Ovis aries: one gene and its partner. The main gene of each other region encodes a partner of the protein of the gene in region 2 in a complex. Links are inferred from orthologs where the notes say so. Each region holds a gene or a part of one and is shown on either strand. Other genes may lie near its edges. The genes, in order: CHEK1 and CLSPN.

Evidence for each region.
Region 1: the proteins of CLSPN (region 2) and CHEK1 are in contact, whole or in part, in a crystal structure (PDB 7AKO), measured with the Homo sapiens proteins. The link is inferred for Ovis aries from reciprocal best matches to the Homo sapiens genes CLSPN and CHEK1. Residues at the interface, in NP_071394.2 of Homo sapiens: Glu938, Leu940, Leu941, Leu943, Cys944, Ser945, Gly946; in NP_001107593.1 of Homo sapiens: Lys53, Lys54, Cys57, Met61, Arg129, Thr153, Val154, Phe155, Arg156, Tyr157, Asn158, Arg160, Glu161, Arg162.

Annotation. Positions count from the first base shown.
Region 1 is NC_056074.1:26,508,203-26,512,024, forward strand, and holds part of CHEK1 (serine/threonine-protein kinase Chk1), read left to right. Parts: intron 1-606; coding exon 607-715; intron 716-910; coding exon 911-1,088; intron 1,089-1,661; coding exon 1,662-1,793; intron 1,794-3,822. UniProt on the Homo sapiens protein: Serine/threonine-protein kinase which is required for checkpoint-mediated cell cycle arrest and activation of DNA repair in response to the presence of DNA damage or unreplicated DNA.
Region 2 is NC_056054.1:10,716,705-10,720,626, reverse strand, and holds the start of CLSPN (claspin), read left to right. Parts: upstream 1-1,136; 5' UTR 1,137-1,227; coding exon 1,228-1,251; intron 1,252-3,922.

The DNA of each region.
Region 1 (3,822 bases), on a different chromosome or scaffold from region 2:
CCATAATACACATTTTAAGATGATAGGATTAGTCAGAAGGTTCTTATTAAGGAGAAACATGTCATTGAGCAAGATACATTGTTATATTGACTAAGACAAAGCAATGTAGAAAGAAGGTTTGACCTTTTTTTCTTGAGAGCCCCAGACTCCTTTCCCCTCCTTGGAAACCTTGGACTTCTTATCAACCTACCTAGGAACTGACTCTCATGAGCAAAGAAGGTTGAGTAGAGCAGATTCATAACATTCATTGTCATTATCACAAATTATTTTTTATTTTAAAAGGTTTTGATCCTGTTACTGTGTCTCTCAGTCATCATAGAACATTTTTCTGTTACCAAAAACGGTACCATTGAAATGACTGCCTTAACATTGACACTGTGCACTTGGGACATACTTATAGGCCAAGGTTTATAAAATGTGTAGTTTGCACAATTTGACAAGTCAGTCCGAGTCAGAAGTTCCTAACCACATTTCTCATAAAATCATGTAGAAAGAGCCACTATCTATTGTGTAAGTATTTTGTGTTTAAGAAATGAATTTAAATATGGTTTTTCTTCTTCAAGTTGCCAACTGGGAAAGCATTTGTATTTATGTTATTTTTTTTAGGGGCAAAGAGGCCCCGGGCTACTTCTAGTGGTGTATCAGAGTCTCCTGGTGGATTCTCTAAGCATATTCAATCCAACTTGGACTTCTCTCCAGTAAACTGTGCTTCTAGGTAAGGTCACTTAATAATTAATAAAAGATCAAGTAATTGTTGGATATAATAGTCCCCATGAAAAATAATCCATGTATATAATGTTTTCTGAAGATGAATATAATTTTTTTCAGTGTGAGAATGATAATGCCATATAAGAAAGGCCTAAAGAACTTTATTTAAAGCTATATTTTTCTCCATATAATAATGCCTCAGTGAAGAAAGTGTGAAGTACTCCAGTTCTCAGCCAGAACCACGGACAGGCCTTTCGTTATGGGACACCAGCCCTTCATACATTGACAAACTGGTACAAGGGATCAGCTTTTCCCAGCCTGCTTGTCCTGATCACATGCTTCTGAATAGTCAATTGCTTGGCACTCCAGGATCCTCACAGGTAAGGGAATTTAGTTCCTCAAATAAATAACGAAACTCTATTTTTTATTGTCTTAAAGTCTTTTTTTGTCAATTTAAGAAATACATTGTTAACACTTGATACAGATTTTCTTTTTTTGACATGGAGGAGAGAACTAGGGGAGACTTTTTTTCCCCTAATGTTTATTTGGCTACACCGGGTTTTAGCTGTGGCACACAAGATCTTCAATCTTTATTGCAGGATGTGGGATCTAGTTCCCTGACCTGGGATCAGACCTGGGCCCACTGCATTGAGAGTGCAGAGTCTTAGCCACTGGACCACCAGAGAAATCCTGAGACTAAAGACTTTTTTTCTCTTTTTTTTAGCCACATCATGGCATATGGTTCTTAGTTCCTTAACCAGGGATTGAACCGTGGCCCCTGGCACTGGAAGCAGAGTCCTGACCACTAGGCTGCCAGGGAATTCCCTAGGGGAGACAATTGTACATAAGAATCTGAAGTCAGAGAAAAGAATTTTCAGGCCAAATAGCTATAGTATGATTACTTTGGTGGTAAATCTGATAATTTATTCAGCTTTCCTCTATTCGACTTGTAGAACCCCTGGCAGCGCTTAGTCAAAAGAATGACACGATTTTTTACCAAATTGGATGCAGACAAATCTTATCAATGCCTGAAAGAAACTTGTGAGAAATTGGGCTATCAGTGGAAGAAAAGTTGTATGAATCAGGTATGTTTCATTGATTTTTGTTAGATCTTTTCCTGAAGAAAAATTTAAAATATTTGAGTAAAAAAAAGAGCTATCATTTTATGGTTGATTCATGTTGATATTTGGTAGAAATCAATGCAATACTGTAAAGAAATTATCCTTCAATTAAAAATAAATTTTAAAATGCTATCATTTTATGTATATATTAAAAATATAAAGTAATTAGTTTAATTTGAAAAAGAAACCATTGAAATTTAAGTACAATGTTTTTCCTTAAGAACTAGTATTTCTTAAAAGACTTCTCTAAGGTTATTACAAATACTAAGAGATTCAAGTCTTATTTTCTTTAAAACTATGCGTTATACTTAAATTGTAACAGCAATGAGCTTTCTTCTGTGAAAGATGGATCCGTTAACAATTCCATGCTTCCTCCATCTTCCCTGCTCCCAATTGCCGATTTTTGTTGTTTACATTGTTATAGCGTATTTATAATATTGACATTCTGATCTGTCTTTAGGCTTTTCCAAAGTCTTACAATTGTGAAAAACAAAGAGAAAGGAATATTTTGTATTAAAGGAGACTAAGACAATCATGTAAAAAAGAAGTAAACATGCTTATCTAGGTTTATAAGACCAATAAACATTTGTGGTTATTTATTGTAGGATTCTTTCAGTTTTTCTGTAGATTTGTAAACTTTCAAAATTAAAAGTTAAGGGAAAATGTTACTGTGAGGAAACCTGAAGCCAACCTGAAGCCAGCCTGATTATCCTCTCACTTATATAGATATCTTACATTTTTTTTTTTAGGTAGACTTATTGAGATAAACCTCACATGATAGAAAAATTATCACTTTAACCATTTTAAAATGTACAATTTAGTGGTTTTAAGTATATCACAGGATTATGGAGTTATCACCATTTAAATCTAGAACTTCCCACTGCCCCCCAAGTAAACTCTCTACTAATTAGCAGTCATTCTTCGTTCCTTCCTCCCTGTCAATCGCTAATATACTTTCTGTGGATTACCTACTTTTGGGCATTTCATATAAATTGAATCATATAGTATATGACCCTTTGTGTTTGTCTTCTTTTACTTAACGTAGTATTTTCAAGGTTAATTCATGTCGTAGCATTTATCAATACTTTATTCCTTTTAATGGGTGATTGATAGCCCGTTATATGAATAGACTGTTTTGTGTAACCATTTATCTATTGATGGACATTTGGGATGATGTATCTACTTTTTGGCTGTTAGGAATAATGCTTCTGTGAGCATTCAGGTTTCTGTGTGAACACAGGTATTTTAGTTTGCAAGGGCCATCATAACGAAATACCATAGAGTAGGAGGTATTTATTTGTTTATTTACAGAGATTTATTTTCCTACAGTTCTAGACACTGAAGTCCAAGACCAAGGTTCTGGCAGGGCTGGTTTCCTCTGGAACCTTGGCTTTTACATGGCCACCTTCTTGCTGTCTCCTATGCTTTGTCCTCTCTGTGCACACATCCCGTGTATCTGCCACTTTCTGTATCCTGATTGCCTTTTCTAATGAAGACACCAGTCAGATTGGATTAGAGCCCTCTGAATGGTCTCCTTTGAACTTAGTCACCTCTAAATTAAAAGACACTTGCTCCTTGGAAGAAAAGCAGTGACAAACCTAGACAGCATATTAAAAATCAGAGACATTATTTTGCCAACAAAGGTCTGTATAGTCAAAGCTATGGTTTTTCCAGTAGTCATGTACGAATGTGAGAGCTGGACCATAAAGAAGGCTAAGCACCGGAGAATTTATGCTTTTGAAATGTAATGGTGCACAAGATTCTTGAGAGTCCCTTGGACTGCAAGGAGGTCAAACCAGTTAATCCTGAAGGAAATCAACCCTGAATATTCATTGGAAGGACAGATGCTAAAGCCGAAGCTCCAATACTTTGGCCACCTGATGCGAAGAACTGACTCATTGGAAAAGACCCTGATGCTGTGAAGCACTGTAGGTACGAGAAGGGGACAACAGAGGATGAGATGGTTGGATGGCATCACCAACTCAATGGACAT
Region 2 (3,922 bases):
GATGGGATCTTATTGGTGGGAGCAGAAATGGGCTGGAAACTGGTGAGGAGGTGATGAAATAGGATGAACATTTATCTGAACCCAGCTACAGCTGGAAATTTGGAGGAGAAGGCCAGTGGATACGGTGAGTAACTATCCTGGTTTGCCTGAGACTGAGGAGGTGGTACTTTCAATGCTAAAACTGTGATAGTCCTGGGAAAATAGAAACAAGTTGTTCATCCTGTCAGTGGATAGGACCATCATTGGCGAAGTCAGGAGGGTAACTGTGACCTTTCTTTTTTGGTGCACTGATGTCTTCCTTACAGTAATCTTGTAAATATCTTGTAGAAGCGAGACTCAACAAGAATCTGGAGAGAAAGGAAGCTCGAACAATGCAGTGGGGAGAAGTCAGTCTTGCCTGGATAGGGCAGGATAACAAAAGAGACAGAATGGACCTGAAGGGGCAAATAGTAACCAGCACAATGGCAAGGAATTAGAACTGTCTGGGATTAGTCTGACTCCAGACATTTTTTTTTTTTTTTAACCTGCCTTGTTCAACGAGTATGGGAGTGGGATGGGTGGGTGTTTTCTGCATACTCGGATTAAACTTAAATAAAATTACAAACCTTATCCAAGGATATTCTTTGGTATCTGAGCAGCCACAAAACTTTTCTGATGTCCAGTGGCGTGAGTGCCAAGTACAAGAAGGAGCAGGTAGGATCCAGCTGCTCCAAGAAAGGAAGTCCTGGAGGAAATCGCCACTGAGGACGACCTCAGATGCCCAGGTATCTGCTTCCGGCTCACTTCCTGCCGGCAGGGCTCACTCCTCAAATTGCGCTTGATGGGAACTGTCTCGCTACGGTAAAGGTCAAATGTAAAAGACCACCACTCGCACAGTACCTTCTTGCAAGGCCAAAGGATCTGGCCGCAAGTAAGGCAGGACACCTCCAGCCTCCCCCAGCCTGAATTGACAAGAGGAGCCGCAAACCGCCAACCTCACCCAAATTACATTCAACGGGCTGGCCGAAGGCGTTCCGTGATTGGCAGGACAGCATGGGGGCGTGGTCTCACGTAGAAAGTCTCCTCCGGATTGGTGCAAATCATCGAGGGCGAGGCCTCCACTCCGGCTGGGCGCGAAAGCTCGAACGCCGCTGCCTGACTGGAGACGGCGGGAGCGGCTGAGTCCCGACGGGTAGGGGAACTGGGGACCTGTTTCCTCCCGAGTGGCGCGCTGAGGAGGCCCTGGTCATGACGGGTGAAGTGGTTTCCGAGGTGAGTTCGTGCCCTTGCCTGCATCCGTAGCTGCGGGGGCCCGGCGCCGAGGGATTGGGGGCGGGGGAGGGGGGTAGCAGGGGTCGAGCCGGCCGAGCGGGTCGCGGAGGCGGGAGGACTACAGTTCCCGGCCCGCACCGCGGCGGCTCGGCTTCTGTACTCGCGCGGAGACAAATCCGCGGGCCCCGCGCGCACGGGAGCCAGCGGTCCGCCCCGGCTCTGGGTCCTTCTCGCCTCAGTCCCTCGGCCGGGTTGTACCCGGTCTTTGCGTCGCGCTCAGCCGGCCGCCGGCCCCAGCTCAGCCTGCTCCGCCCGCCCCTTTGGCGCGTTTCCGGTGGCGGGAGCGCTTCCTACAACAGCGCCCCCCAAAGAGGAAGGACCCAGCCGAACCGGACCGCTAGGGTGCTGTGCATGCGTAATCGCTAAGTCGTGTCCGACTCTGCGACCCCATGGACCGTAACCCGCCAGGCTCCTCTGTCAGGGCAGCATAAGGAAGGGAAAGTGAAGTCGCTCAGTCGTGTCCGACTCTTTGCGACCCCATGGACTGTAGCCCACCAGACTCCTCCGTCCCTGGGATTTTCCAGGCAAGATACTGGAGTGGGGTGCCATTTCCTTCTCCAGGAGACTTTCCCGACCCAGGGATTGAACCCGGGTCTCCCGTATTGAAAGCAGACGCTTTACCGTCTGAGCCACCAGGGAAGTCGCGGCAGCATAATTCTCTGTAAATGGACGGCGGGAGTCTGAGGGAGTTCCAAACTGGGTCTGGAAGAGGCCTCTGAAGTCATCGCCCTGGGTCCCGAGAAGGGAAGGTACCACCAGTCTTGGAAGACTTCCGGGCGGTGACTCGCTGATCGTTCTCGGAACTGGCATAGAGGCATCTTTCCAAATCTGTGTTCTTTTTTGGAGCTGGGGCTGGAGTGAGACAGTATGGGGCAAAATTTAACGGGGCGCTAAAATACTCAGTAATCAAGATAATTTTTTAAACTTTTTTTATTGAAGCATAGTTGAATGACCATGTTTTGTTAATTACTACTGTTCAGCAAAGTGACTCAGTTACACTTATATACACATTCTCTTTCATATCCTTTTCCGCTATAGTTTATCACAGGATGTTAAACAGAGTTCCCTGTGCTATACAGTAGGACTTTGTTGTTCAAGATAATATTTTATGTAGTTTTTTAAAAATAAAAATTAATGCAAAAAGAATTCCATAATTTGGTTTTGAACAAGATATCAAACTGAAATGAAGACACAATCCAACCCTGTATCTAGACTACACTGCCTTACTCACCTGACTCAGCCTGGCCCAGATTCCAAAAAACTTTATAAAAGCAGGCAGCTGACCTCATGGGCCATAATTTACCCACTGCTTTTTTAAATTTTAATTTTGCACAAAAATCCTTTTGATTACTAAGTGTTTGAGACCTCCTAACCTCCCCGTGTTCCTGGCCCTGATTATTGCTGGTTCTGCTCCAAATTGCCTAGAGTAGAGTGATGAGGAGCATCACCTTGGAGTGAGCCATGTGGTTGTCTAAACTCAGTTTCCATAGCCACAAGTACTATTACTGCTTTGAGTTGTTGGGAGAATCAACAGCATACATCATGATCCTCAGTGATTCCTCTGTTTGTATTATTTTTTATTATTTTAATAATTGCACTAAATATTCAGATCAACTTAGCAGTTGTCTCAAACTGTTCGAGTGTGGTCTTGTGCCCCATTACATTACATATGTATTTTCCCCCTTATTAATAAGTTGATTCAGAGTCCTGCGAACACCAAGGTTGTGGGGGAACTGGCATCTAGGGTTAGCTTGATCATTAACTATAGTCAAGTCATCAAACTACCTCCCTTCTCCTTAGATTTTTCACTTGTGACTTAAAAAATTGGAGGGGGGTAGTTTGGGGCTGAATTTTAGACATAAACAAACAGAAAAGCTGTTAAAATGAACCCATCATCTAACTTCTACAGTTATCAAGTCATGCCAATCTTGTTTCATTTACACCCCCATGCACTTCCCCCCCTTACTGGATTACTTGACAGCAAATTTCCACACATACTTCATCCCCAAATATGTCATTATACATATCTAAAAGGTAAATGCATTCCAAAAAAGATAACTATAATATTACTACCATACCTAAAAAATTTAGAATTATTACTTGATATTAAATGATCAGAGTTCAGATTTCTTTGACTCTTACATATACTTTCAGTTTGTTTGAATTAGGATTAAGACAAAGCCTGCATATTGCAGGTATTGCTGTATCTCTGTATGTATGTGTGAATATCTTAACTCTTTTTATAAGTCCCCCTCCCTCTTTTTATTCTTGCAATTTATTGTTAAAGAAACGACATAGTTTGTCCTATAGAGCGTCCCATATCTGGATTGCCTCTGTGTGATGATATTTGACATGTCATGTGGATACACTGAGAAATAGTTCACACAGAAAAACACAATAATGCTTGATTCTCATTTACCATAACTCAAAGCGTTGCCTCTGTAATATCCTTCAAAGATGAACAATGAGTTTTAGTTTGTTTTTTCTAGCCAGTAATGTTTAATGTCATCCTTTTGTTAAACCATTGTATTGTTTTTTTCCCTTTATTTCAGACTGATGATCCCATGATGATTTATGTATCTTTATGTACTTAGAGTGTTCTGTCACTTGC